Linked DNA regions of Caenorhabditis elegans. The protein of the gene in region 1 purifies or fractionates together with the protein of each later gene. This does not show direct contact. Each region holds a gene or a part of one and is shown on either strand. Other genes may lie near its edges.

Region 1 (7,839 bases):
ATATTTATCGCAAAAATCATTTTGCACTCAAATCGAGAGAAAAATTGAGAGAAACAAAGGACTCAAAATGTTTACGGATGTCCACGTGAAAGTCACACAAATGTTGAACAATTTGTAAATTTGTAACACAAAGTGAATTACACAAAATTCGGGCGACAATCTAAAAGTAATTTTCAAAAAACTCTATCTGAACACTACAGGTTAGTGTGACGTGTGCTAGGTTTTGTTTATCAGAATTGAATGTATTGAAGTTTGCTCACAAGAGGTAATCCAAAATGATAACACTATACTCACAGGCAGTTCAGTTGTAAACGTTTTTGTTTCCAGATGTTAGAAAAATTTTTTAAACCATCTTACAATTTACATTTTATTTTATCGACCGTGGATGCGCTATAATTTCCGACAAGCAATTCAACAAAAAATAAAAATTATACCTTAGTTAAAGATTATAGAAAACTGGTTGCTTTATCTGAAAATCATTTTCCTTTTATTTGGAACAATCGAAAAAAAAACTCAAAAATTGTCCTAATCTTTGAAAATGACGGGAAAAAACTCCAACACTTTGGTGGATTCCTTTCCAGAATATATCCGAAATTCTTCACACAATTTTGAGCGGTTTTCCAAACGTCCAAACGTTAATATAAAAACCATTTTTCATTAACTTTTTTCTATGTTTTATATTTTTTCTGTACTTTAAATTTATTTTTTTTTGCTATCCCAAATTCAATTTTTGAAGTAAGACACCATCTTGAATTTTAAGACTTCCAATATCCGTGTGCCACCAGCACTTTTGACCTACCAACCTGTGTTCTCCGGCCGCGCGCGGACAATATCGAACCTTTGAGAGTGACGAACCACAACAACAACCAAATTTTTTTTCATTTATCTTGTTGGCCTCAGTTTTTCCTTGCCTTTTTACAGTCATTAGTCGCTTTTTTTCCGTTCATCAAAAATTCTTTGAGATTTTTTTTTGCGAACACGGTGCTGCTAATAGAAAAGTTTAAAAAATTATATTATTTAAACAAATAATTTCACGACCGAAGTACGGCGATTTTCTTATATTTTTTTTCGAACGCAGTTTACTTACTGTTTACCAGTTCTCGAGCGCCGAGTTACACAAAAACGACTGAATCGTCGAACCGCATGTTTCTCACGTTGCCGCGGCCGCCCGAGTTTTCCTCTGCCACCCTACACTCTCTCGAATCTCCGTACTCTCTAACCTAGTTTCTCCAGTTCTTCTCACTTGTCGTCTTCCTTGCCAGTTCGTGGACTGGGATAAGATGAGCAGACGCGTCCATTCTTTCATAGGCGGTGCAGTCGGTCCATTTTGTTGTTTCACATCAGTTGTTTTTGATAGAGTCAATAAGTTTAACTACAATTTTAGCCTAGTTTGATGCCACGCCGTTGCTAAAGGCTAGAAATGTGGTTAGTACCCTGAATGGAGTGTCCTAGGGTATCTTTTTTGAATTTAAAAAAAGTGTCCAATCAGCCCATTCAAACACCATTGAACACTCAAATAATTGTCCTGGTAAAGATAATGATACCCACGTTTTATTTTATTTTTGTTTCTTCGGATAAGGAATCATGCGTTGTACGTACTCTAGTCTTCCCTGCTATCAATGTTTCGTTGCTTCATTCTAATCGGAACGTGATTTCCACGCCTACTTTCAAAACGTCTTTTAAGTTCCCACTCGAAACATTAATATTGAATATTCAGGTAATCTTTCTCCAATCAACAATGAGCGTTTCCAAGAAGCTTTTCTCTACCGCCGTGCGAGGAAAGTCGTGGTGGTCGCATGTTGAGATGGGACCACCAGATGCGATTCTTGGAGTCACCGAGGCCTTCAAAGCCGATTCAAACCCAAAGAAGATCAACCTTGGAGTCGGAGCTTACCGTGACGATCAAGGAAAGCCATTTGTTCTCCCATCGGTCAAGGAAGCTGAACGTCAAGTGATCGCTGCCAATCTTGATAAGGAGTACGCCGGAATTGTTGGTGAGTGTTATAAACTTATTGATCCATTTGAACTCTTTATTTGTTTGCAGGACTTCCCGAGTTCACCAAGCTCTCTGCTCAACTCGCTCTTGGAGAGAACTCTGATGTGATCAAGAACAAGAGAATCTTCACCACTCAGAGCATTTCTGGAACTGGAGCCCTTAGAATCGGATCTGAGTTCCTTTCTAAGTACGCCAAGACCAAGGTTATCTACCAGCCAACACCAACTTGGGGAAACCATGTTCCAATCTTCAAATTTGCCGGAGTCGATGTCAAGCAATACCGCTATTATGACAAGTCCACCTGTGGTTTTGATGAAACTGGAGCACTCGCTGACATTGCTCAAATCCCGGAAGGATCCACAATCTTGCTTCACGCTTGTGCTCACAACCCAACTGGAGTTGATCCATCCCGTGACCAGTGGAAGAAGATCTCCGACATTGTGAAGAAACGCAACTTGTTTGTCTTCTTCGATATGGCTTACCAAGGTTTCGCTTCCGGAGATGTTGACAATGACGCGTTCGCTGTTCGTTACTTTGTCGAGCAAGGACACAACATTGTTCTCTCTCAATCCTTTGCCAAGAACATGGGACTTTATGGTGAGTTTACATACTAATTTGTTAAATTTGAATTTTACAAGCTGGAGTTCAATACGAAATGTATTGTTTTTGTGCAATAGAGCGCAGTTTCTTCTTGGTGTTGGAAGTTAGGCCATGATAACGCGGATATCACTGGTGTCGCATTATCCTATCTTTTCTACCCTTTTGTAGCCCTAACCCTGAATACTGCATAATTTTTATAATTTATTCTGTTTAAGGTGAACGAGTCGGTGCTTTCTCCGTTGTTACCTCGGACGCTGATGAGGCTGCTCGTGTTGCTTCTCAAGTCAAGATCCTTATTCGCCCACTCTACTCCAACCCACCAGTCCATGGAGCTCGCATTGCTTCCCGCATCCTCGCGGATCCAGCTCTCAACAAGCAATGGCTCGGAGATGTCAAGCTCATGGCTGATCGTATCATCACCATGAGAACTACGCTCAAGGATTTGCTCGCCAAGGAGGGATCTACTCGTAATTGGGAGCACATTACCAACCAAATTGGAATGTTCTGCTTTACTGGAATCAACCCACAACAAGTTGAGAAGCTTATCAAGGAACACTCTGTCTACCTCACCAAGGACGGACGTATCTCGGTGGCGGGAATTTCATCGAACAATGTCGCTTACCTTGCCCACGCTCTCCACCAAGTCACCAAGTAAATCAGTGACAAATGCACTCTTCCCATTTTAACTTATTCTATCTGTCATAATAGAATAATTTTCTCGTTTTCGGTTTTCTTATTCTCCGGTTGTAGAATGGCAGTATGCTTTATCTCATTTTTATTTGTAGCCTGTTTTTTTTCTGAGAATGGGAACTTTTAATAAATTGGGTTTCGACCTTAATCTTTACTGGAGTTGGTTATTGAAAAATGATATGCACGATATTTGTTTAGCAATTACGTTAATTCAATTATTCGATTCTGAAACGTTGTGTTTCTAACTGTTTTGAAAGAAATATAATTGTCAGTTTTCTGAAAACGAAAAATTAAAAAAAATTAATATCACTTTCAAATTTAAATTTATTTAGTTGGAAGTGTGCTTACAATGAATGGTATAACACGCACATATTTTGAGTTCTCTGAAACCATAAGATTTTCGAGGAAAAAGACAAAGTATTTTTATAAAATCAAATTATGTTAAATACATTAGAGAGTTAAATACATAATTATTTAACAAAATTTTCAGAAACTTTTCGACTTCAGATAAACGCATCGGTGTGGTTTTCTGAAACATGGGCGTAGAGTTCTGGTATTTAATTCTGCAAATTCAAGTCACGGTCATGGGTCAAAATAAATTGGTTAGAAAATCTATTTTTTTTTCAAAAATTATTTCAGCTTGTTTTCAAAATGCCTTATAAAAACTGAAACCAAAGATTACAAAATCATACCTGGACAGAACTCAAACTAGCCGTGAATTTTCAGATGGTATTTAGCTCGTCGCAAATCAACAACTTACTTCCAGTCAACTGCTCAAATAATATATACGAAATTGGTTCCAGTAGATTTCAAGACGATAAGTGGGATAAGCTGAGAAAATGGGCAAGCCTCGCGCAATGAATTTTCAGAGTCCAGTACTTCCTACGTTAATGGATCCTCCATTATATCTCAACTCGAAGTTGTTAATGAGCGCATCTATATCGGCCGCCGAATCAAGCCGACAACCATCCAATGGCGGGCCTCTACCGATGACGCCAAGCAGCTTGGGCTGCATAATTAAATTAAAAAAAAAAAAAACAAAAAGCATAATTTGAGAAAACAGGTTCCCTCAGTAACAAGAAAATCTGTTTGATTCTATTTGATTCCTCCAGTTCTTGCTGCATTCAAAAGTCCCAAAAAGGCTTCGGTGAAACATTTCCGAATGGGCAAAAATTACGCTGGTCTATCAAGACTGTAAAACTTTAGACTGCAGCCTGAAGCTTGAGGCATATACATTAAAACCTGAGTTTGATGTTCTAAGACTATGAACATCTCAGGCGGTATTGGGGATTTATATTTGAGAGATAAGCTTGAAGACACAACTTGACGAAAACAAGTTCATTGCCATGTTTAGACATATTCAGTTGAACAACACCCAGCCTGCCGTGTGAAAATAAAAATTACCATGAATGATTTTTATAATACTATCTTGTTTCCGATGACGATATTAAAGAAAACGTGTTGATAATTTACAAATCACTCGTGCAAACTGTGCTCACAATTACCTGAACATTCACTTGTATTTTTTTGGAAGCATCAACTTTGGTCGTTTATGCAGTTTTACAATAATGAGCATAATAATAACCGAACTAATGATTTTTCATAAATAATTCATGGGTGAGCATGGGTGATCTACCAGATTTGAATAACTATACTTCAATTTAAAACGTTCTTCAACCGATCCCCTATTTTTGTAAATCGAGAGTATTTTTCACCGTTGGTCAGTTTGTTTGTTTTTGATGCGAATTGCTGCTCCTTTGTTTTCTTTTTCTTTACAGAAACTGCAGTCCCGTTTGAAATTCAAAATCCCCCATATTGTCTCATAGAACAATGGGAGTTTTTTTTTCTGCAAAATTTGTTATCTGACGTGTACCAAATATCCAAGCGTAAATCATCAATTCAATTGAATTCAGGATTACGAAAGTGATGTACAGTTATTTGAGCAGCTTCACTTATTTACTGCTCGGCTCATTGACTCATGTTTTTTGACGACACACACATCAATCGTTTGGAGCTGTGTGCACACATTGTGGCTCGGTTTTTCCATTGTCGGTTTATGAAGCAAAAACGAAAAACCGGCAAAATAATAATCAACAGGCTGCTGTACAAATTATGAAATCAACACTTTCCGAAAATAGATCTCATAATTTCTGAATTGTATAGTACATCGGAGATCCATTGCAAGCCCGGAATAGATATGATTCAAATTATAGATACATTTTTCTGTATGAGTCCCTATTTTTGTACACAGTTCTGACGCATTTTCAATTTGTACAGCACTGGAAATGAATCATGGTGTTTCGAAATTATGTATCTGAACTAATAACTTTTAAAAAAATAGCAATAGTTCGGCGTTACCAAAGATGCTCAACTAGTTTTCCCATTTTGAAAGAACTTAGAAAGACTTAAGTCTCAACTGGAAAACTGTTAAAAAAATAATAGAGTATGGAAAATGTATAGATCATACAAAAAATTGAAATCAAAATATCTATAAAGATTACTACAAAATTTAGTCGAAGGTTTCAAGTACTCAATTTTTCAATTGGTACATCATCCCGAATAACGATGTGGGAAAATTTGTAAATTAACAAAGTAGTTTAAAATTAATTTGAAATGTTTTTACAGACTTCGTATTGCTGAATCTTCCAAAAACTTTCGAACAGAAGCATATTGTGTCAATTTTAGCTATCAAAGTAGCAAATTGATACAATACATTTTATTCCTTAATTAATTATAGCATAAGTTGGAGAGTTATTTCAGAATCATTTTCATCTACTTTTATGACCGTAAAATACTCATATTCCGCTCATAAAACTTAATAAAATATTGCATACATTTTGGGCTAGATACATTTACATTGTCTTTTTATGTCGTTTGTATTCATTTTTCCACCAATGATAACCAACCTTTGTTACATTTAGTTTCAAATATCTCATTAAAAATGAAAAAAAGACATAAAAAATAAAATTTTCATATGGAATGTAAAGCTTTCTAATCCCTTTTTCATTTCAATCCGACTTCAAATTATTTTATTCAAGAAGGAATAAATTAAGTTTGTTTAAGTTTTTTAATAATCCCTCATTTCCGAAAATATTCACCTGTTCTTTGCTGCAACCCACAAAGGTTTTTCTCATTAAAACACGTGAGCCAGCCTGAAAAGTCAACACTTATTGAGTGAGTCATTGCGTGGGAGTGGTCGCCAAGTTTCTCATCGGTTGATTATATGTTTTTCTATTCAGATAATGATTGAAATCTGTTGATAATAAAAATGTATACTTACATTCTGAGAATTCATGTTCGAAAATTTATTTAAACATGTTATTAGTTGGTTGACTTTCTGTCTGATGCAGTGTTTTGTGTTTTCTTTTCGAACAAAAAAACCAAATGAACTTTATTATTCTCAAAATATGTTTTTCTGGAAACTACATTTAGAACGAAAACATTTCAGACTCCATCCCAAAGCTTCACGACCTTTTTGAAATTGAATACTTGCGGAAAAACGTCTCTTCTATATATGATCTTCTTTCTTTTGAATAGGTAAATGCCTGACACTGTCTCTATCTTGATTCCATTCCGGAAATGAGAAGACACCCAGCATAAATGAGATGTGGGAAATGGAAATAAAAGAAGTAACATAACATGAATTCTATTTTGTCATTCCGGGTTATTGTCTCTGAAGATCTATTGCTTGTTTGATTTTTTTATTGTGTTTAAATACAATTTAAGTAAATAAAAAACTTCCGCTATTTGGTTCTATATATTAAAAAGCCAAGTCATACATCACTAAAATTACTTTTTGAGCAAAATAAGTTGTTTTCAAAACGCGGAACCACTGTCTATTTTGTTTTGCACTTTTCGGTTTTATTGAGCTCGATGAGTTCATGTTTTTTAACTCAGTTCAGACAAAGTAAGAGGAAATGAATTTTTATAGCGACGTTAACGCTGTCGTGTCTTTCAGATGTCATAAAAATGCCCATTTTAAGAAAAACAAAACGGCTACCGACGAATAAATTAAGACCTGCGCGAGTTTTGGTGTTGTTCTTAAATGATTTTATCGAGGTTTCGAATGTGTAGGAAAGAAAGATTTTGGGAAAGAAAAGAAGAATGCCAAAAGTATCATATGACTTAAATAGAGTATTGTTGAAATGTTAAACGAAAAAAATGTTTGCGTTTTAAAAACGTAGTAAAAAGTACAAAAACAGGTTGTAATAGTAAATAAACCACACATATATTCAGAAAATCAAAATGTACAAAGTTCAAAATTTTCAAAGAAAAACGTTTACACAATTGTTTCCACGTCTAGAATTATGAATCATGATTACTTTTCTTCACTGAACCTATATACCTTTTCAAAAATGTATACTAAGTGTTATAACGTTTTTTTCTGCCCGGTGGCAGGTTTCCACAAACCCGTACCGGAAGGTTAATTTTATTTTTTCCTGACTGTCTATTTTGTTTCAAATTCACATTTCCCTTTTAAGAACATTTTCAAATCTCCCTGACAACTTCTTCCGACGAAGTCGTAAATCCTTTTCTAAGACATGTCGAGCACA
Region 2 (6,816 bases), on another chromosome or scaffold:
TCTACTCGGAGAGGTGAGATACCAAAAAGTGATCAACTGAGACCTTGTAGAGCACATCAAAAACTATGATATTCAATTTAACCTACGTTTTTATCTTTCAAGATGGGGGAGTTAGACGTACATTTGTATTGCATACTTTTTGTTATTATACTGGCTGCTCTAACTCCCTCATCTTAAGAGATAAACACATGATTTTAATTAATTAGTATAGTTTTTGATATGTTCTGCAATTTCTTAGTTAATCACTTTTTGATATCTTGCCTCTCTGAGGAGATAGGAGTTGTCGAAGTTACAGTATTTATAGCTATGCGCATATGAAGAATCATATGGATTCTCATCATGCTATACTACTTATCATCTGCTTTTTGTGGGAAACAATGATTCAAAAATGTTTTTTCAAATGATCAAACAAGTTGTGATTTGATCTGAACATTTAGTGTTGGTTTAGTGAAGATCAGCTGCCAACTAAACAGTTTCCGTTGATTTGTGCATTTTTGAACAATTTCAAGACTTGAAACCGTGTTATTTCTATCAAGCTGACGTTTAAAAATTGGAATCAAACATATTAATGCTTGAAAAAATTTGTTTCGCGTAGAAATTTTGTCATAGAGTTAACTTGTTCTAGTCGGTTCGAAAATCAATGAAAAAGCAGCCAAATCTTGAATTTGTTCAATAAAATGTTTTTTAAAACTTTTTTAAAGCAATAATAATCCCAATATTTAATTATTTTTTCCAAATTTCATCTTGAAAACTCGAATAATCGCGAAATTTCGTCTGAAACTCATTTAATACCGTAAAAGTGTGCAAGCGCGCTCCGTTGGACTTTCCAATTCTCAATTTTCTTAACTCTCCCGATTTGAGGCGCTGTGCTCCACCAATCTTAACGAATTTTCAATCGAATTATTGAGCTCAAGAGCTCTCATCAGGAACTTCATAGATTTTATGTAATTTTTGATTTTCTGTTCCCTAATTTTATGATTATTATCCGAATTAAACTTTAAAAACATCAAAATCATTTGAAATTTCTTGTTTCCCTCCTTTTTTTTATTTGATAAATTTTCTGCGCAAGTGCGCTCCATTGAGAATACAAATGCTCTCTTTGGAATTAACGATTTTTAGTTTATATTTGTTGAGTGTTCGAGATTCTTTTATTGTTTTAATGGTTTGATTCCAGTTTAAAATGTTTCTTAATTTTATTTATTCCTAAAACAATCTATTCATGTAATATAACTCAATTTTAAAGACGATTTTCGAGAGAGAACAACGTTATAACTGTTTTTCTTAATTTATTTTCATTAAACCGCTGTATTCAACTTCTTTTATTGTTCAATACAATCCTGAATACCTAAAATTTGTTAGATGATTTCAAATAATAAACAAAATTCGCTAAAATTCAAGTAATTTGCAGATGAAGCATCAAGTCGAAACACAGGCTCTCCCCTACTCGACAATCATCCTTCACTGCCTGAAATACCCGGCAAAGGGTGTTTTTGGACTGCTGATTGGAAACAAGAAAGGAGACAAAGTCACGGTACAATTTTATTTGTTTAATTCATTAAATGCGAACATTTTAAATTAGTTGATCGTCATGTCGGTACGCTTATTTTCTCCAAAGACAGTCGTCTTTAATACCAATTATCGATATATTAGAATTGCTAAGCTGAAAGCAAGAAAAAATAATTACGCTCTCCACCTCAAAATGATGAACAGTTGCTGAAGAGAGCATAAAAAATACTTTTCTACGTTTTGAGAAGAGTTATGCGATACTAGATTTCTGAGTCAGGGAAATGTTTTAATTTAATGAATTTGCCATCCTATCTGATAATTTATTTTCCAGGTAACAAGTTGTGTTCCTCTTTGCCATGAATCCACTCCACTCGCACCTCCTCTGGAACTTGCCACAGCCCTCGTCCATGGAAAGTTTGGTGCCTCCCTCGTCGGCGTCTATTTCTCAAATGCAACTCCATCGGACACTTCTCTCAACGTTTATGCCACTCGACTCGCCGACAGAATATCTTCTGTTACCTCTTCGGCAGCGATTCTCGTACAAGTGATGAACGAAAGACTGGTGTCAGATTGTGAACAAGACCGCCTCGTGGCATATGAAAAAGATGGAGATAGTTGGAAAGAAACGAAGTAGGAAAAAACATTTGATGTTATATATTCATTTAGTATATTCATTTCAGAACGATTTTCCAAGGTTCCAACTTCTTGCGTGGCCTTCAAGCTGTTATTCAGAAGAAGTTGTACCGAGAGCTTTCCGATTTCGAAAACCATTTGGACAATCCCGAGTTCGACTTCTATAACACAAATCTGAGCAACAAACTCGTGCAAGTGGCGGAATTCAGAGCTTAAAAGCTGAAATTATTATCCTAATTCGTGTTTTCATAACTTATTGCAGTCATCTGAATATATTATATGTTTAATCCCCTTCCGTTTTCGGGTTGAATAAAAGATTTGATGACAGCTGAGTCGTGTAGGATTGGTTGCCATGAAAACGCATTAGAGAATGCGCAGGAATAGATGTCAACAAAAACGATGTTTTAGGTGGGAAGCAATACTTTATCAACATTCAGCAGAGATACGAAAACGGTGAAAACACCGGGAGACATAAGCAATCAGTTTATTCGTAGACCCATGAGTTGATGAATGGGCTGGCGTAGTCGTTGATCTCCTCCTGCTTGAACCAGTGAGCAATCTCGCGGTTGGCAGAGTCAACGGCATCGGATCCGTGGCAGATATTGCGTCCGGTTTGGATGCAGAAGTCTCCGCGGATGGTTCCTGGGGCGGAAGCGAGTGGGTTGGTAGCTCCGAGCATGGAACGTCCTTGCTTGACGACGTCAAGTCCTTGCCAGACCATGGCGACGACTGGTCCAGAGCTCATGTACTCGATGAGGGATGGGAAGAATGGTTTGTCCTTGAGGTCTTGGTAGTGAACCTAAAAATAATAATTTAACTGGTTGGGCCTAAAATTTTGTAATTTCGTGAAAACGTACCTCAAGATGGGCCTTGGAGGCGGTCATCTGCTTGAGAGCAACAAGCTTGTATCCGCGCTCTTCAAAACGAGCGATGATCTTTCCGACGAGACCACTGAAATTTAAAAAATTAGGATTTTGAAAATCCTAAAATCCATTGAGGATGCTAGAATAAGTTTCTTCAAAGATAACTAACCGGTGGACTCCATCAGGCTTGATGGCGATGAAGGTTCTCTCAGTGTTGCTCATTTTCGGACAATCCAACTTGGAACAGGTGTCAACAGCACAGGCGACAGCGACGAACGCAAGTGAAAAGAATAACCCGCCGGCGCCCATTCAATCAACTCCGACACAAATGAAACGAGTGTAACCGTACTTCAGCACGTGGCGAGACCCGACCTCGCAGCATTCTTGGCTTTGTGCCAGAATTGCAATGGAGCGCCTTTACTGACCACTGTTTTCGACCAATTTTTTTGGACACCAATTGAACCTTTTGCGAGAATTATGTTCTGTCAAACTGGTTTTCTTCATATGAAATTTCATCGGGATTATTGAACAAAAATCGGAATTTAACGTCACCTGTAACGTCAAAACACATTGAGAAGTGAATCGCTGCATTTGATATCTGAAAAAACGCGTGTGACATAAATAGTTTATTACACTTTGTCTCAAGTTCTATGACTTATGTCTGCTTTTCGTGTCTCCATGCAACAAGCACAAACGCTCTGCATATTCCCATTAAACTATTGTGCCTCGTTACGCGTCGAACTTTATTTCATGCTTGATGACCTGGCTCCGCAAATTTCTTTTTTCGTTTCAGACACTACTTCACAAAACTATTTGCAGTACAAGGAAACCGGTTCTCCCATATTCGCCACCTTCGACGCCCTATGTTTAGAATCGACTAAATGTAAGGTTGTCTATACTCTTTCTTTTCTGCCATCGACTACCATTTAACTGTTTGCCTACCAAACCGTGAGCTTTGTTTGCAGAACAAAGTGAGAGCAAAACTGTATCGAAACGGGGAAAGTCTCTCGGAAAGAGAGCCTCTGTCTTATCATTTATCACCTGCTGATTCGCGAACGAAGCCGATGGAGAGCGAAGTGTGAGTTTTGTAGATATTTTAAATTACAGAAATTGTTTCAATGATAAATTCTAATATAATTTATCTCATTCCAGTGTCCTTCCCACGAATGGGGTGATGAAAAAATGGACAAACTACGTGAATGGATGGCAAGATCGATACTTTGAAATCACAGAGGGAAATCTTGTTTATTATCTGTCAAAAGCCGAAAAATCCCACGGATGCAGAGGAAGCATATTTCTCAAAAGTGCAATAATAGCTGTGAGCTTTTATTGATTTCTCAGAAAGTTCTTGTATATTTAAAAATTTAGGCCCACGAATTTGATGAAAACGAATTCTCAATATCTATGGGCGAAAACGTTGTCTGGTATTTGAAAGCAGAGAATTCACAGTCAAAACTTCTATGGATGCGATCAGTTGTCCGGGAAACAGTGAGTGTTTTCTGAATCTGAATTTGGTATTTTTAAAACATAATTTTTTCAAAAAATTACTTCCCCAGCGATTCTCTCGGAGTAATTACGAGATAAAAAGTTGTATATTCTTCGTTTAAATATGCTCCGATCATAGTTCAAACACCTCTCTTATGTTCCTTTTTACATCAAAAACACCATTGTTGATCTTTACCTGATTTTGTCATCCCGTGTAAATATATAGTACGGACGGTGGCACACAAAAGTCAATTGAAAGTTCGGGAATAGTACGAGGCTATAAAATATAAAAAATCGTTCACTTCGAAATTCTACTTTTAGAATCAGAGAAATCAAGTTAAAACTTCAATGGGAAAATCAATAATTTTCAGGTACAAAACGATTCGGATTATAGCTCGACTAGCACTAAAAGTCATTCCCGTAATCCATCGGTTTCCTCAGTTCTTGCTACTAATAATCAAAAATCTGATGATAATGAATCAACGAAGCTTTTTGCCACGAAACTCTCCGAACTCGAAGCATACCGAACTATGTGCAAGGATCAGATGACATCAATCGAAAGACTTCTGGAACAAGGTGGAGCCAGTTGTATTGTCCCACAAGCCACGATTCTATCAGTAAAAGCAACACATTTAGCATTGATTGTTAATATTAATCATATCGTGGATCTCGTCAAGACTTCTAAAGTAACAATTTGCTGATAGTTTGAGAATTAAATCAAATAATTTTCAGGTGGTAATACCAAACATTCCATCTTCTTCTTCATCCACTCCACCACCATTTCGGGAACCTTTATGTGCAACTAGAAGTGTTTCTTCTTCTGTTCTTCGTCGTGAATCTATTGTTGAACAAGAATACATGTCTGACGATAATTCAACAATGACAACTTCTACGATTATTGCAAGACCTGATATTGATGTGGTGAGTTTTTTGTTAATATGTAAATTTAATTTCGAGAAAAGAAAATCCAAAAAAGTTTTAAAATCCTAATTCTTATCTATAAGATTATGTTAAATCAATTTTTCAGTAAAAAAATAACTCTCAGATAAGTTTTAGAATGTTCTAAAAATGCTCTATACTTGCTTCAAAGTCATTTTGCTCCCCGATCAGTGTAACGAAAGCTTGGCACTGTTATTGAGCATTTTTCAGAACTTACTGCAAAATTTAAAGTTTAAAGAAATTATTTTCTAAATACATTTTTTATATCAATTTCGGATCAAAAATTTATGAATCTATCGCAAAAAATACGCCAGACAATTTCTAAAATTTACAATTCTTGCAAATTTGCATATTTCTCATTCAGACAAGTGATTGTGATGAGTTCTTTGACGCCGACGAGTTTGATGTGGACTCGAAAAATGGAGATACCGTTGAAAAAAGACAAGAAGAGGTGGAAGACAAGAAAAATGGAAATATAGTTGTTCCAGAGGAAGAGAAAAAGAAGACTAGCTTCAGAATTGTAAGCTCATATTACAAGGATGCAAAATTTTGCGATTTTTAGCGCCTTTTTTATTAAATGCGAGAAGTGTACGCGCCTTTTAATTTTAATATAAGTTTTAAATAAATACATCTATAAATAAAAAATTAATTAAAATAAAATTCGCAGAAACGAGAGTTTTTGCCAAACTTTCCATATTTCTCTACTAAAACATGTGCTATTGCAGGAAGGAAACCCAGTTACTGGTCACTATGACGACCTCCTCGTGAGCCAAGAACACTCTCTTTACACCACAATCGATAAGCTCGCTCTAGAACAGCTCAAGTAAGTTTATCGTTTTAAAAATCATTTTCAAATTCTCAATATTTCTAGATATGCTCTTGCCGGTGCTGAGGATAATGTATGGAGTCTGTTCGCTGAAGACGGTCCAATGAGAATGTATACAAGACAAATTGAAGATGAAGGAGGTGTTCCTGTTGATCCATTAAAGGCGATACATGCAGTTGATGGTGTCACTGCACTGGAATTCATGCATTATTTCTATGATGCACGGTATAAAATGCAATGGGACCATACGCTGGAAGCGATGAGCGTTGTTGAGCACATTTCACCGGATTCTGTGGTTCTACATCAGAAACATAAAACAGTTTGGCCTGCTGCACCGAGAGAATCATTATTCGTTTCACACATTCGACGAGTTGATGAGCACAAGAGGGATGGAGCACATGATTTGTATATTGTGTGCAATAGAGATATTCAAAGAGCCGATGTTCCGGTAGGTTTTTGAATTTAAAAAACATTAAATCAATTGTAACTGAAACTTTCAGCTTGGATCCTCATCTTCTGTGAGAGTTGGACTAACGGTATCAATGATCTGTGAGACTACAGTGA
Region 3 (9,634 bases), on another chromosome or scaffold:
TTTTATTGTGTTGGTCATATTGGTCGCATCCGCTGTATTATAATTTTTATAAAATTATCACCCATGCTTATTTTGGTAATTTATCTCGCGTAAATTCGTTGATTGTTTTTCGTTGACCCATGTTTTTATCAAATTTTTTGATATTCAAAAAAAAAACGATTTTTTAGAGAATTTTCCTTTTAGGTACAAGAAATTGTCGAATTCATCACTCAGCCAGCTACGGTTTGTTTTCTTTTTTTTAAGCCAAATGCACGAATTTCCGGTCCGTGAGACATTTCCAACTAGATCAAACGAGTTCAACAAAACGTAATTTATTTTCTGACTTTTTACTTCTTCCTTCATCAGTTAGGAGGTCTGAAACTAGTGAAGTGAGAAAAAAGTAAGTCAGAAAATTATTAGGTTTTTGTTGAACTCGTCTGGTCTAGTTGGAAATGTCTCACAGACCGGAAATTTGTACATTTGGCTGAAATAATGAAAACAATCCGCAGCTGGCTGTTTCCACATGATTTACTTGTTGTTTGGTTTGTCCTGGCTCGTACTTTGCACAATTCGTACATTCGATGCTCATACCATAATTTGATGGCACTTGTTATATGTTCTAGTGTGTTTTTTCAATCAATACATGCTTTATGGGTATTGTGTAAACTTTTTTTGGTTTTGTGAATATATATTTGGCGGAAAAAGCAAAATTTTCAAGAAAAATTTTTGCCCCAAATTCAAGATGATCGAAAACAATTTAGGTTGGAAATTTAAATTTCACAACTAACTTTTATTCAAAAAATTCAAGTTTCTTGACAACAATTTTGTCTGTTCTCGTTCGAAATTTTGAGATAACTTAATGATTGATTCATAGAGTTGTCACTGTACATATTTCAATAGTTTTTGTTTCTCTGCAATCAGTATACATTCGTTTTGTATGCCGTATTTCTTCAATTAGTATGGTTGCAATAATATAGTCTTCCAGCTTTTCCGCTTGCTATTAGAGAGTGCAATACTAATTTTCAGAAAATTTTTCTGTGTCGGGGCTCAATAGTTTTTAACTGAAAGAATTCCAATTTTATTTGGAAATATAGAAAATCTGATTATAATTGCAAAAAAAAAGTTCAACAACTTCAATCTCATAAAAACAATTTGTCAACAATCGTTGCAAAATAGGCAAACAATTTTGTTAAAATCATAAAATTACTGAGGCGCTTTTCTATACTAATAGAAGAAAATACAGCAATTCCAAGTAGAGCTACAAAGTTCAACAAAAAGAGTAAAAGGTTACGAGACTACTGTAGCCTCATTGACAGAGTCAATTTTCAAATTAAATAAAAATCGATAGGTTATCAATCCTTCAACCAAAAATCCAAATGTCTTGATAAGAACAATAAACAATCCCAATATCTCCAAATTAACACCAGTAATATGACTAGAGATGTACAAAGGAATGATATTGAAGAATAGCATTATGAAAAAGTCGAGAAGAGCTATGCGGGTGGCCTGAAACAGTTTTATAATTGTAAAAAATAATAATGGTAATGTACGAATATATCTAGCTGTAAAAATGACGAAAAAGTTTTTAATGAACCACTAAAATTTCAAAAAAATTGTCAAAAAAAAATTCAAAAATTTGAAAACTTCAAAAAATTTGAAAAAAATTAAACAATTTTGATAGCTTATAACAATTCGGAGAAAAAACCATAAAACTTTCAGAAATTCAAAAAAAATCGAGATTTTTAAATTCCGAAAATTTGATATTTTGATGTAGTTGCCGCTCGCCAAATCGGAAAGTTGCCAATTTCCCGGAAATTTTCAATTCCGGCAATTTGTCGATTTGCCGGAAATTTTCAATTCCGGCAAATTGCCGATTTGCCGGAAATTTCAATTCCGGCAATTTGCCGATTTGCCGGAAATTTCGCTTTCGGCAATTTGCCGGTTTGCTGATCTGCCGGTAATTTTCAATTCCGGCAAATTTCCGATTCGCCGGTTTTCCGAAAATTTTCAATTCCGGCAAAGTGCCATTTTACCGAATTGCGGATATTTTCAATTCCGGCAATTTGTCGATTTGCCGGTAATTTTCAATTTCGGCAAATTACCAACTTGTAGTAACTTTAAATTCCGGCAATTTGCCGATTTTCAGGAAATTTCCAGTTCCAGCAATTTGCCGAATTGCCTGTAATTTTCAATTTCGGCAATTTGCTGGTTTTCCGGAAGGAATTTCTCAATTCCGGCAAATTACCAACTTACAGTAATTTTAAATTCCGGCAATTTGCCGATTTGCCGGAAATTTCAATTCCGGCAATTCGCCGATTTGCCAGAAAAAATCGTTTTCCGGCGACCCCTGCACTGTACATAAAACTCACTCTCGAAATATCCTTATTCGTTTCAGTTCCCGAGAAATAACTCCAAAAAGTAAGCCGAAGAAATAAAACGACCGAGAAAGCTCCATTCAAAAAGCAAACTATTTGTTGATGTGAAAACCAGTAGCGGTAGTAACAACTGTTAACAGCACAAAAGTAATTTACACACTCTAGTGGTGTTTCAAGAACATTTCCACAATATCCAAAAAGCATGTACTGATTGAAAAGTTCACTGGATAGGATTATGAGTAAAAATACAAAATTCGGAAGTTTTTGTCGATAAATGTGGAAGAAAATTGGAAAATATATGGCAATAACTCTTTCGAGGGCTATTAAAAATGTTAGTACTGATCTTATATTCCCAATTGATGCAGCTGGAAATACAAGTAAAAAGTATAAGTTTTTGATGATAAAGTCATTAGAAATCCTTGTAAGCATATAATATATTTTGAGAATCAACAGAACTATAGTATAAACCAAGTCCACACCGAATCTGCAGTAAGTCAGCATCATATGCAAATTTACAGGGATTCTTTTGCGCCAGAATATTGAGATCAAAAGAAGAAAGTTGAGGTAGCAGATGGTAATGGCGAATAAAATCGATATGAGAGTAGTTAAAACGGCGATGAGGAGCATTCTTGGAGAAACTAATCAAGTGAAAGAAAATAGTCAGAATATATGGGTATTCTAATTGAACCCGTCTGGTATTGTCAGGCGGAAATTTCTCCGGAAATACGTACTTCTGATCGCTGTCAATGACAACACGCACGTGGTGTCATAGTGTTATTTCTCATTTCAGCTTGATCTACGTAGATCTACAAAAAATGCGGGATAAGCGACGCAGACTTCTCAACTGATTTCGCATGGTTAAGAACGTGCTGAGGTCACCATTTTTCTTGAAAAAAAAATTCCCGCCTTTTTTGTAGATCAACCCGTAATGGGACAGCCTGGCAAAACGTGAACACGAAATTCTGGCCTTTCTCATTACATTTTTCGCGCTCCATTGACAATCGCCTGCCGGAGACATGGGAAAGTCGTGTACTCCACTCGGACAAATATATTTAGTTTTGCAATTAAAACCGAGACGCAACGCGCCGTAAATCTACCCCAGCCGTGGTTGAGTCAAAATGGCCTAGTTCGGCCAACTCTTACATTTCAAAATACGTGCAAATTGTCGTAAAGTCTGGTGTTTTCAGTTACGGTAGCTCGGTGTCCACGTACGAGGCACCAGATTTCACGAAAAAATGCACAGAAACTCTCGCTTTTGGTTACTGTAGGCTGAGGTTAGCGTTACAAATTTTACGACAATGCACACAAAAACCCTAAAACACAGGATTTAGAGAATATTTTACGCGAAAAATCTGAAAAATTCACCGGAAATACTCTGAAACTTCAGGATAAATATTTTTCAGCTAATCCAAGACGAAAATGGCAATTTTTAAATTGCATTTGGCAATTTTTCAATAGATTTTCTTTTTTTTCCAATTGTAATGCCAATTATTATCAATTAATTCAGTTTGAAACTCTTGAAATCAAAAACCCAAACATCTTAGATCACACAACCACACTGCCACTGGTGCAATCTGCACTCTTCTCTCCTATCTGTCAATTTCGCCGTTTTTTCTTGTGTTTTTTCTTCTTTTATGAAGTTCCACGTGCCTTTTTAAAAATTGAAAAAATTGAAATTTGACCGATACCGCCCGTTTTTCTGCTCGATTTCGAGATTTTTTCTAACTTATTTTCAGATTTCCTTGTATTATGCACTGTTTGTAAAGTTCAATATGTCATTTTACGAGAAATTTTGTGAAAAACTCGATTTTCTAATTTATTTTCTTTGAAATTTAGATTTTCCGCCTGAAAATCGCTTTTTTCATAATTTTCCGCAATTTGTCGTAACGAAGTCCGCAAACACTGTTGTCCACGTGTAGAACTTGTGGACAAACGCACATTTATTTTACTTTAGTTTTTATTCGCTTTTATTAATTTTCATGCGAATTTCTTGATTCTTACTCAGTTTTTTCACTTAAAGATCATTTTTCGCAATATTTTCTCTCTAAAACTCAACTAATTTCAGCAAAATCATGTCTCTCACCGGGTTCATCGGTCTCGGCAACATGGGCGGCCATATGGCCCGGAATTTGATCAAAAACGGGAAGAAACTCATCGTCTACGATGTTAATAAGGCAGTAGTGCAGGAGTTTAAGGTAAGATTAACAATAAATTTGAGAAAACTCGTTTAAAAATCGATTTTTTCAGGCAGAAGGCTGTGAAGTCGCCGCTCACCCTGCTGATATCGCCGCCGCTTCGAAAGAAATCATCACAGTGCTTCCGAGCTCTCCACACGTGAAAGCCGTCTATCAAGGCGAAGCTGGAATTTTTAAGTACGAAAAATCCTGAAAATTTTGGGAAAAAAATAAAAAATAAAATTTTTTCTCAAAAAAAAAAAATTTTTTTAATTTTTAAAATTTTCTAGTTTTTAAATTCCAGAACCATCCAGCCTGGAACACTGTGCATGGATTCCTCCACAATCGATCAAATTGTGTCACTGGAAGTTGCTCAGGCCGCCGCTTTGCTCAAAGCCGAGTATATCGACGCCCCAATCTCCGGTGGAGTCACTGGTACGGGAATTCGGAGACGGAAAATTGCGAAAACCAGTTGAAATTCGAAAAATAATAATGTTTTTAACGTGATTTTCGTGAAAATTCAGTTGAAAACTTGAATTTTAGCCTAAAAACTCAAAAATTTGGCCGAAATTTTTTTTTTTTGAAAAACAAAAATCGAAATCTCAGTAAAAAATTTCAGAAAACTTGAGTTTTAGCTCAAAAAATCACATTTTTCCCTAAAACTGTCGAAATTTTAGCTTAAAATCTCAAACTTTTCACTAAAAACTTCAAATTTTCACTGAAAAATTCAAATTTTCACTAAAAATCTGAAATTTCCACTGAAAATCTCAAATTTTCACTGAAAATCTCAGATTTTCACTAAAAATCTCAAAATTTCACTATAAATCTCAAAATTTCACTAAAAACTTCCAATTTTCACTAAAAACTTCAAATTTTCACAGAAAAATTCAAGTTTTCACTGAAAATCTCAAAATTTCACTGAAAAATTCAAATTTTCACTAAAAATCTAAAATTTTCACAAAAAATCTCAAATTTCCGCTATAAATCTCAAATTTTCACTAAAAAGTTCAAATTTTCACTAAAAATCTCATAATTCCTCTGAAAATCTCAAATTTTCACTAAAAATTCCAAAATTTCACTAAAAAACTCAATTTTCATAATTTTCCAGGCGCCCAGCAAGCTACACTAACATTTATGGTTGGAGCCGGAAACGATGCAACTTTCAAGCGTGCCGAAGCGGTTTTAAGCCTTATGGGCAAAAATATCGTGAATTTGGGAGCCGTCGGCAACGGAACAGCCGCCAAAATCTGCAATAATATGCTTTTGGGAATCCAGATGGTCGCTGTCGCGGAGACTATGAATTTAGGCATCTCGTATGTGGAAAATCTGAAAATTTAGAAAAAATTGAGTAGAAATAGCTGAAAATCTGAAATTTCTCTTGAAAATATGTTTTTTTTTCGAAATTTGATAATTTTGATATTTTTTAAATGGCAAGATACTTTATAAATTTAGTATTGTCCAGAAAACTTCTGAAAATTATAAAAATTCGAAAAACGCCGAAAATACGGAAATGGTGAACGATTTTGGAAAATGCAAAAAAAATTGAAGCAAAAATTGCTGAAAATTCAATTTTTTGCCGAAAGTTCAAACCATTTCAAAAATTGAAAAAAAAAACGTTTCCAGGCAATTTTTCAAGTTTTCTGATTAAAATTAATATTTTTCATTACTTTTTTTTCCGGCAAATGGGCAAATCGCCAAATTGCCGGAATTGAAAATTTCCGGCAAATCGGCAAATTGCCAGAATTAACAATTTCCGGCAAATCGGCACATTGCCGGAATTGAATTTTCCGGCAAATCGCCAAATTGCCGGAATTGAATATTTCCGGCATATCGGAAAATTGCCGGAATTGAAAATTTCCGGCAAATCGGCTAATTGTCGGAATTGAATTTTCCGGCAAATCGGCAAATCGCCAAATTGCCGGAATTGAATTTTCCGGTAAATCGGCAAACCGGCAAATTGCCGAATTTGCAAAATTTTCGGCAAATTTTAGTTTTGATCAGTTTATTTTTTGAAAATTTCAGAAAAAAATTCCCTCTAAAAATTTCCGGCAAACCCGCAAATGGCCGGAATTGAAAATTTCCGGCAAACCGGCAATTTGCCAATTTGCCCAATTTGTTGACGAAACAATGCCGCCCACCAAAATTCTAAAAAAACAGTTTCGTCAAAAATAATTTTGAAAAACATTTTTTTTCCCACATCAGCAAAGTAAAACGACCAGCGCAAAAAATTGAAATTAAATATATTTTTCTAAAAAATTCAACAAAATTTTTTTTACAGAATGGGTCTCGACGCGAAAGCGCTTGCCGGAATCGTGAATACATCGTCAGGAAGGTGTTGGTCGTCGGACACGTACAATCCAGTACCCGGAGTCATTGAAAACATCCCTTCGTGCAGGGTATGGATGGAAAATTGACTGAAAATCCGTAAAAATGCAAAAAAAAAATCTCAAAATTTGATTCTGTCCTCAAAAAATTCATTTAAAAAATTAAATTTCGCCATTTTTTGAATTTTTAGCTTAAATTTATAACTTTCCAATTTTTTGATGATTTTAATAGGAATTTTGATTTAAAAATAATTCAAAAAAGTTGAAATTTTCAAAAAAAAAATCGAATATCTGGAACATTTTTGCAAATCGGCATCTTGCCGGTTTGTCGAGTTGCCGGAAACGTTCAATTCCTTCAATTTGCCGATTTGCCGGAAATTTTCAATTTCGGCAACTTGCCGGTTTGCCGATTTGCCGGAAATTTTTAATTCCGGCAACTTGCCGTTTCGCCGATTTGCCGGAAATTTTCATTTTCGGCAAATTGCCGGTTTGCCGGTGTGCCGGAAATTTTCAATTCCGGCAATGTGCCAATTCGCCGATTTGCCAGAAATTTCATTCAAAAATTTCAATGAAAGTCTCCTAAATTCCGCCGATCAACCTAAAATTTCCAATTTCAGGGTTATGCTGGCGGCTTCGGAACGACTCTAATGGCAAAAGACCTTTCATTGGCTCAAAATGCTTCAACAAATACTCAAGCACCAACTCCAATGGGCTCACTGGCTCATCAAATCTACCGTATTCTGGCTCGTGATCCACAGTACCAGGCAAAGGATTTCGGTGTCGTCTATCAGTTTTTGAAGAAACAAAACTCATAATTTTCGGTTTTTTCTGAAATTTTTAAAGCATATTTTATGTGATTTGAAGCCCCGTATTTTCAGGATTTTTCCAATTTTTAAGCATATTTTATGTGATTTTTCCGCCTTTTTTCTATGTGCCAAATTGTGTTTTTTATGTAGAAAAAAATAGAAATTTATGAATTTTTTGTTTAAATTCGAAAAACTGTCTGGGAAAAAATCGAATCGAAAAAATTCGAAAAAAAATTTAAAATTTTCAGGGTTTTAATCGAAAAATTAATCTTAAAAAATCAATTTTTGTCACAAAAATTTATCGAAAAAAAAGCTGATTTTATAAGAAAAAATAGAGATTTTTAAAAAATTTACAAGAATATATTTTCCATGAAAAATCACTTGGAAAGACCATTACAAGTTCAAAATTACAAAAAAATTATTTATTACAAGCTCATAATTGAATTAAATTTGCGTGGTTCGATCTACTTCGATCTTCGAAAAATGCGGGAATTGAGATGCAGATTTCTCAATTGACTTCGCATGGATAAAAGCGTGCACTTTTTGGGCAAAAAAATCCCGCATTTTTTGTAGATCAAACCGTAATGGGACAGCCACCATGTATGTACATTACTTTTCAAGTAGGTCAAGTAGGTTCGGGCAGTTTCCGAAATTTTAAAGGAACTTTTTCATTAGAAATACGTGGTGTCATTACTGTTTGATCTACAGAAAATGCGGGAATTTTTTTCCCAAAAGTATGTGACCATTACAAGTTTAAAATTACAAAAATTATTTTATTACAAGCTCATAATAGAATAAAATTTCAAAACAAAAAGAAAATCTATTGCTTCTTGGCGGCCTCGATAAGCTCGGCCTTCTTCTTCTCAATAATGACAGCGTAGATCTTCTGATCGGCTTCCGATTGTCCCTTAATATACTCATTGGTCTCTCCGATCATTTTTGTGATAATTGCCAAAGAAGTGGCAGCATCACGTTCTGGCTCATCGTCCTTCTTCTTGTAAGTGGCGGCGATTTTGAGAATTCCCTCGATGGATTCTGGCGAGAGACCGGCGGCTGTCATCTCCTCCTTGGCTTTTGCGACTGAAATTTTTTTTACATATTAGTAGGGTATTAGGAGACCTACAAAAAATCCGAAAATTTTCAATTTTTGGATTTTTATTAGGTAATTTGCGTGGTTTGATCTACTTAGATCTTCGAAAATGGCGGGAATTGAGATGCAGACTTCTTAACTGATTTTGCATGGTTAAGAACGTGCTGACGTCACATTTGTTTGGGTTAAAAAATCCCGCATTTTTTGTAGATCAAACCGTAATGGGACAGCCTGACACCACGTGTGTGCTGTACTTTTCAAGTTGGTTGTATGTTCGGGTAGTTTCCGATATTTTTAATAAACTTTTTTTATTGGAAGCGTGTGGTGTCAGACTGCCCATTACTGTTTGATCTACAGAAAATGCGGGAATTTTTTTCCAAAAATATGTGACGTGTCAGCATGTTCTTAACCATGTAAAATCAGTTGAGAAGTCTGCGTCTAAATTCCCGCTTTTTTTGTAGATCTCACCAAAATGGGACAGCCTGACATCTAAAAATGTAAAAAATTAAATCATTTTTTGGTGTTGTATCCTATAATATCTGGAATATGAGGTTATTGTACAATTACATGTAAAAAATCAAAACAATAACTTGCTAAAGAATTACATACTTTTTTCTGCCGAAAAATCAACAAAAATTGAAAATTTCAATTTTTCGCCATTTTCGGTCTTATTGTTAAATTTTTTTCAAATTGAACAAAAAACATGAATTCTTGAAAAAATAAGCATACATCCAAAAACTCACGTTTCTCGGCCATTTTTAGTGTTGATTCAGCAGCAGCAGCAGTGAAAATTGATGCCTATGCCGAAATGTGGCACCCCGCTTGGCATTTTATACCGAGAAAAAATGTTTGTGACCGCATGCACTTTGCTCTTCCAGCGCGTGTT
Region 4 (7,039 bases), on another chromosome or scaffold:
AGTACTCTTTAACGGCGCGCACCTTATTATAGTGAGCAAAATTTTGTCGTGTCGAGACCGGGAACCGTACTTTCGTGTTCAATTTTGCAAACTTCGCATCCGGGTAATAGTTTGATTTTGATTCCTCACTCAGATTCATTGAAATACATAAATATAAACATTTTATTAGGTCTCATGTTTCCCCCACTTTCGATAAGATATTGTTGTTTGCGAAAATTCGGTCAATTATCAACAAATTGTTCGATAAGATAAGCATTGACTGCTCTTTAAAACTGCACATTCTGGCCAGTTTTCGTTTATTACGATTTTTGGAACGATTTCTGGAGTTTAAGAATTTTTTTCGATTTGCAATGAATAGAATTTCGAAAGTTGATGTCAAAGTGAACATTTTGACTTTTCTACAGTTCCGGTTCAGCAGTTTTTCCGGCGCCAAAAATAGGTTAAATGCCGCGAAAATTGTCAGTTTTGTCTCACTTTCGAAATTTCGAAACATATTTATCAAGAACGAGGCTGTCATTTTCAGTATTTAAATTTGATTCGATTTCACTATTTTAACTTTACCATTTTTCCTACATGGCGCTCTTTTGGAATTCTTTGAAATTAAAAAAAAAATATTATTTTGAAAAAAATAATTAATGAACAAGTGTTTTCCCTCCAAGACGCAAGAATTATTTTTCTGTGTGCGCCTTTAAAACTTACAGTAAACCAGACGGTCAAATTTCTTCATTTTTATTGAAATTATTCAAAGTTTTCTGATTTCTAGAAATTTCTTTTTTTTTCCTAATTTTCTAATTTGATTTCAGCCCAGAATGAAATTGATTATCGAGGAGAACGCCGATAAAGTCGCCGAATTCGCTGCTCGATATGTCGTTACAAAGATCAATGAAGCGACTGAAAATGGAAAATATCTCGTCTTAGGACTGCCAACCGGCTCAACTCCACTCGGAATGTACAAGAAACTCATCGAATTCTACAATGCCGGAGTTATCTCCTTTGAAAAAGTGAAAACTTTTAATATGGACGAGTATGTCGGTGAGAAAAATTTGATATTTCTTTAATTAGTTGAAATTAATAAATATTTCCAGATCTTCCACGTGACCATACAGAATCGTATCACTCCTTCATGTTTGACAACTTTTTCCGACACATTGACATTAATCCAGCTAATGTAATTTTTTTGATTTTGTTGTTTTTTTTTTTTCGCCAAATGTGGTTCCAAAGTCAATAATTTCAGATTCACATTCTCGACGGAAATACGTCTGATCACGAGAAGGAGTGTGAAGAGTACGAGCGTAAAATCAAAGAATCTGGCGGAATCGATTTATTTGTCGGTGGAATTGGTCCAGATGGCCATATTGCGTTCAATGAGCCCGGAAGTTCGCTGGCAAGCCGTACACGTATCAAGACCCTCAACGAGGATACAATTCAGGTGCGCGCCAGAAAAATTCTCAATGGAGCGCGCCGTGTTGTGTCGATTTACGATTTTTCTTCAGTTTTGTCGGAAAAAATGTTCCATTGACAACAATAATCCGACGAAATTGAACGAAATTTGTTGGAAAACGTCAATCATCTCGTAAATTGACATGTCACAGCGCGCTCCAATGAGAATGTTTCTGACGCGCGTTTGAAAGTCGTCTTAAAATAATTGAATTTTTCGCGCTACATTGACAATTGCCTGCTGGAAAGTCGTGTACTCCACACGGACAAATACATTTAGCGTTGCAACTAAACCCCGGCCTTGGCCGAGTCAAAATGAGCCAGAACCGCGTGTGCACATAGATATTTGGAATCAGGAGTAAAATAATAATTCCAGGCTAACGCTCGTTTCTTCGGTGGAGACATCACAAAAGTGCCAACACAAGCTCTGACAGTCGGCGTCCAGACTGTAATGGATGCTCGTGAAGTGATGATTCTCATCACAGGATCACACAAAGCGCTGGCTCTTCATCAGGCAATCGAATGCGGAATCTCTCACATGTGTACGGTCTCTGCGATGCAGATGCATCGATGTGCAACGTTTATTGCCGACGAAGATGCCACGTTGGAGTTGAAAGTGAAGACGGTCAAATATTTCAAAGGATTAATGAATCATCATCGTTCACTTGTCATGTTTTAATCTGTATTACTTTTTTTCATGTACCCTTCCACTAATTTTCACTGTAACTTTCACTGTAACTTTGAATACTAAATATTGAACATTTTGGTACTCATTATTTGCCCATTATTCTTCCCGAAACATTTCAATAAAATTGAATTTTGAAAAATATTTATTAAACTTTCACAAACAAAACAATTAGAACAAGAATAAATACCAAAAAAAAAATGTTTCACCAATCCTCATCATCCCCCTTATTTCCACGTTGTCCCTTCTTATTTTTCGCCTTCTTCTGTCCTTTTTCTCCTGGTTTGTTGATGAGCAACGTGGCGTGTCCGGTTTCTTGTAAATGAGCAAATAACCTGGTCCGGCTATCGAATACCTCACGGCATTTATCACAAATTGCAGATTTTGGTTCAGTTGACTTCGGTGCTTCTTCCTCTACTGTCGCCGATGGGTTTTGATTTTTATCAGCTGAAAACAAAATTTTTGTTTTTGTTTTAAAGATTTTGCAATTCTACAAAATGTACCTCTTCTCTTCTTTTTCTCTTTCTTAACAACTTCCGGGGTACATTCCTTTTCCTCTTCCTCCGGCTGCTCATTTTCCACGGGCGGCGCTTCCTGAATCTCGGCTTCTACTGCTTCTGTTTCTTCCACATCAAATATTCCATTCCCCTTTTTCCTATCCTTTCTCTTATTCTTCTTTCCTTTCGGTGTTTCGTCGGGTTTCGGTTCTGCTTCGGTGAAAATCGTGGAATCTTCTTCTTTCATATGCTTTTTCAGCTCATTCAGCTGACGGATGTGTTGCTTCGAGTTCTCATGATTCAACTTGGCGTTTCTGAAATTAAGTTTGAAGAATATTATAGAGATGAATATAATCAGACTTTTGAAATTGAGGTGCAAGCGCGCTCCACGGACAAAAGTTGGGTCTCGTTAGGTAGTGGCGGTAAATCCATAATTTTAAACGTTTTCAATATTTTTTCGTATTTTTTGTCTCTCACTTTTCTTCAAGGATTTTCATTTTTTTCTAAAATAATCAAAAAATCAAAAAAATTATTTTTCAGAAAATTGACACACAATTTCAACTTTTTTATAAAGTTTTGTATATTTTGATAAGAAAAATTAGTCTTTTTTCTTTTTTTTTATATCGGAAAATTACATATCGATTTTTTTTTAGTTTTGGTTCATTCCAATTCGAAAAAAAAATTCTCGATGTTTTTTTAAAAATTTTTTCAATATTTCAAAAAATTTGATTTTTAGAAAAATGACCTCAAATTTTTCAATTTTTCTTCTTTTTTTTCATTTTTTAAACGTTTTATTTAGATTTTTCGATTTTAAAAGATCAAAAAAAAATTTTTTAAAGGAGTTCCGATAAATCTATAATTTTCGTTTTTCAATTCTCAATGTTTCGATTATTGTGCATTTTTTAAGCTTTTTTTTAAACAAAAATCGTTTGAAATTAAGGTTTTGCAGCCAATGCCTAACAAGACCCAACTTTGGAGGCGGAGCGATTTAATTTTTCCGTGAAGCGTACTTGCATCTCCATTTCAAAAATGGCATTTTTCTGCGTCTTTATAATATTCTGCTTACACAGTTTTGAACGATTTGCTACAAACAACACAATATGGAAGTTCTTCTCCTTCTTCATCACATTCATCACTACAAGTATCGTAATCCTCGGCCATTTGTAGACTAACTTCAATCAAATGAGCAAGACGGGCTGCCTCGGCTTCTTTGTCGTTCAGATATGAGTTGGCTAGCCTGAAAAATTCAATTTTTTCCTTATTTTTCACAATTTCGGAACTTACTCTTGATTTTTGGCGATCTGCTTTTTTCGATTATCAGCTTGTTTCTTATGTGCTTCCAATTTTTTTTGCTCCAAAATTTCCCTATATGCTTTGACACGTGGATCACGTTTTCGAACAAAAGCGACCAGATTCTGAAAAATTTTGTTAAATTTAAATTTAAAATTAAATATTCCGGACAATCATACCCTAATTTGCTCGTTCCTTTCCTGCTTTCCGACATCCCTAAACTTCTTATTTTCCTGATCGATTTGCCGTGATTCGAATCGATTTGAAGCCTGTGTGATATCATAATGATCCAGCCAGGCAAAAGAGCGAGTTGTCGAAAAAGAGCTCCAAAAACCGTAGAAACCATTCACAGTTTGCTCCAAATCGGTATCCTTGTCGCCAAACTCTGGATAGACTATTGTTGAATCGTTGTACGCATCATATTCCTCAGAAACTAGGATATTGAAGACTTTCCGGTAGACAGTGAAGAAGCCCTGTAATTTATAATTTTGATTTACTTTTTAGATTTCATTCTCACATTTTTATCGTTTTCATATCCTTGATAGCAAGAAGCGGTGAAATAGGGGAACAAATCCGTGGATTGTTCCTCGAAATCCGTATTTTTTCCCTTCAGAATACTTTCTCTATGTCTATCGTAAAATTCGCGTTCTCGTGGATCACTCAAAACGTCGTACGCAGCTTGAAGAAGCCTAAATTGCTGAGTACACTCTTCGATGCGATCCGGATTTTTGTCGGGATGCCATTTGAGCGCTAGTTTTCTGTAGTTCTTTTTGATTTTATCGTCATCAGCGTCGCGTTCAACTTCGAGCACTTCGTAATGGCATTTCATAGCTGAAATATTTAAAATTTACTCTAAATATGATTTTATTTTATAAATTGAAATGAATAGTTCATGCGAAACCATTTAAATAATAATAGAAACAAGAAAAAGAATTAAATGAAAAGAAAAAGTTATCTATCGTCTCTCCTTTCCACACGATGTCTCGCCATCTACATTAGAGCGCAATTGTAAAAAAATAATTTCCTATATTTTTTCCCACGATGTTTTGACGAATTCTGAGAAGCTAATTCACATTTTCCTGTTGTGATTCATATTAAATGTTGTTGAGCTAAATAAGAGCTATCGATTGATATGTCTGCCAAATTTCTTGCAAAAATATAACTGATAAAACTCTCGATAACAAAAGTTCGTTTCGAGTTCAAGCTCGGAAACCGATTTCCAAAATGTTGTTTCATCTTTATTTTCCTGAATTCCATCAAGTTTTCCCTCATTTAACATTAAAAATCTGTGTCTCTGATCACTCGTTGATACCAGTATCACATTAAAATCGTCCTTGACGTCGTCCACGCGGCCAATTTGTCCTTCAACCTCCATATTGTCATTCTTTACTTTTTCCTTGCAGTTTCGAACAATGTCCAGTGGAAAAGTTATCGTATACGGAGGCAAAGGCGCACTTGGATCTGCTATTCTTGAATTCTTCAAGAAAAATGGTTATGTAAGTTTTAAAAGAAATTGAATTAGGATGTTGTAAATTAATTTTCATTAATTTTCAGACTGTTCTAAACATCGACTTGAGTGCCAATGACCAAGCTGACAGTAATATTTTGGTGGACGGAAATAAAAATTGGACAGAACAAGAACAATCCATTCTCGAGCAGTAAGTTGTATTTTTAATTTAAAAAAAAGCTACCGTAACCTCATAAAATATTTGCAGAACTGCTTCATCTCTCCAGGGAAGTCAGGTTGATGGAGTTTTCTGTGTTGCCGGTGGATGGGCTGGAGGCTCCGCTTCTTCAAAAGATTTTGTGAAAAATGCTGATTTAATGATCAAACAATCGGTAACATATATTAATCCTAAACATCTGGTATTATTCTACCGTGAATTTTCAGGTCTGGAGTTCAGCAATTGCAGCCAAATTGGCCACCACTCACCTCAAGCCGGGAGGTCTTCTTCAGCTTACAGGAGCTGCTGCTGCTATGGGACCAACTCCATCAATGATTGGATATGGTATGGCAAAAGCTGCAGTTCATCATCTGACATCTTCATTGGCTGCCAAAGATTCGGGATTGCCTGACAATTCGGCCGTTTTGACAATTATGCCAGTCACTTTGGACACCCCAATGAACAGAAAATGGATGCCAAATGCTGATCATTCAAGGTAAAATTAAATTACTCTTTTTCTTTTGCATAGTTTTCTATGTTTTTTTTTCAGCTGGACTCCACTCTCATTCATCTCTGAACATCTTCTCAAATGGACCACAGAAACATCGAGCCGTCCATCTTCCGGGGCTCTCCTCAAAATAACCACTGAAAATGGAACATCGACTATCACTCCACAATAATTTTACCGACATTTTTCAGCCTTTTTTACATTCCGCTTATTATCTGTTATTTTTCCATGTAGTATGCTATCAATTTCTAAATCATTTGTCCATAAAGCTTGTGATGTTTTTAAGTAAAAATGTTTTATTATCTAGATGCGAAATATTGCAATTTTTCTGCTGAAAATACGGTACCGGTCTCGACGCGACAATTTCTTATGGTTTTTTTTTAGTTCCCTATTTTCTTTAAATTTATAGAAAATTCTACGGCAACAAAATGTTACAAAATTACAGTACTCCCTAAAGGCGCATCCCTTTTCGAAGTTAATCAAAGTTTGTCGTGTTGAGACCGAGTACCGTATTTTCGGGGCAAAAGTAAAAATTTGCTAGAAACTCGCAAAAGATTTTATACAAATTACGTTGAAAATAACTTTACCAAAATATTATGAATTCAGAGAATGGAAAATATACCTTGGAAGGGGCACACCACTTTTGCGATGGGTCCTGAAACGATTTTAATTAAAAATCTACAACATATTGTTCATGCTCCTTTAAATTACCGAAAAATTGTTTTTTTTTTTCGTTTTCTTTTTCAGCGTATTATTACATAATTCTTGTCCCAAATCTTTAGTTTAATTCGTCAATTCTCACCATATTGATATGACAAGAAAACAGAGAAACCCGCAGTTTATTAGTCACTCCCATATCATTTTCTCTCTTCCAATTCTCCTCTATCTGTTTGCAGAGAATAAATCTTCACACTTTTTTCTGTTCTTTTTTTCTCGATTTTTGTTTCAAAAATAATTT

The links.
Region 2: the proteins of got-2.2 (region 1) and ndk-1 fractionate together in Caenorhabditis elegans (co-fractionation; one large-scale study listed by BioGRID). This does not show direct contact.
Region 3: the proteins of got-2.2 (region 1) and B0250.5 fractionate together in Caenorhabditis elegans (co-fractionation; one large-scale study listed by BioGRID). This does not show direct contact.
Region 4: the proteins of got-2.2 (region 1) and qdpr-1 fractionate together in Caenorhabditis elegans (co-fractionation; one large-scale study listed by BioGRID). This does not show direct contact.

The regions. Positions count from the first base shown.
Region 1 is NC_003284.9:6,239,266-6,247,104, forward strand, and holds got-2.2 (Aspartate aminotransferase), read left to right. Parts: upstream 1-1,717; 5' UTR 1,718-1,738; coding exon 1,739-1,994; intron 1,995-2,044; coding exon 2,045-2,593; intron 2,594-2,811; coding exon 2,812-3,251; 3' UTR 3,252-3,444; downstream 3,445-7,839.
Region 2 is NC_003279.8:10,550,571-10,557,386, forward strand, and holds ndk-1 (Nucleoside diphosphate kinase), read right to left. Parts: upstream 3,344-6,816; 5' UTR 3,225-3,343; coding exon 3,172-3,224; intron 3,091-3,171; coding exon 2,997-3,090; intron 2,939-2,996; coding exon 2,624-2,938; 3' UTR 2,549-2,623; downstream 1-2,548. Other genes in the region: F25H2.4 (MPN domain-containing protein), read left to right, coding at 1,409-1,531, 1,838-2,136, 2,187-2,355; cert-1 (Ceramide transfer protein), read left to right, coding at 4,067-4,080, 4,155-4,320, 4,371-4,490, 4,859-5,173, 5,220-5,408, 5,791-5,946, 6,152-6,249, 6,298-6,700 and 1 more.
Region 3 is NC_003283.11:20,489,505-20,499,138, forward strand, and holds B0250.5 (putative 3-hydroxyisobutyrate dehydrogenase, mitochondrial), read left to right. Parts: upstream 1-4,419; 5' UTR 4,420-4,426; coding exon 4,427-4,549; intron 4,550-4,601; coding exon 4,602-4,726; intron 4,727-4,832; coding exon 4,833-4,963; intron 4,964-5,636; coding exon 5,637-5,841; intron 5,842-6,806; coding exon 6,807-6,924; intron 6,925-7,469; coding exon 7,470-7,667; 3' UTR 7,668-7,841; downstream 7,842-9,634. Other genes in the region: srbc-79 (Serpentine Receptor, class BC (Class B-like)), read right to left, coding at 1,267-1,485, 2,349-2,981; dct-16 (DAF-16/FOXO Controlled, germline Tumor affecting), read right to left, coding at 8,479-8,738, 9,492-9,504.
Region 4 is NC_003281.10:13,388,598-13,395,636, forward strand, and holds qdpr-1 (Dihydropteridine reductase), read left to right. Parts: upstream 1-5,312; 5' UTR 5,313-5,321; coding exon 5,322-5,405; intron 5,406-5,463; coding exon 5,464-5,567; intron 5,568-5,624; coding exon 5,625-5,748; intron 5,749-5,800; coding exon 5,801-6,069; intron 6,070-6,123; coding exon 6,124-6,253; 3' UTR 6,254-6,382; downstream 6,383-7,039. Other genes in the region: T03F6.3 (Glucosamine-6-phosphate deaminase), read left to right, coding at 810-1,032, 1,086-1,168, 1,235-1,429, 1,814-2,116; dnj-17 (DnaJ homolog subfamily C member 21), read right to left, coding at 2,328-2,569, 2,626-2,933, 3,686-3,856, 3,904-4,034, 4,089-4,382, 4,427-4,738.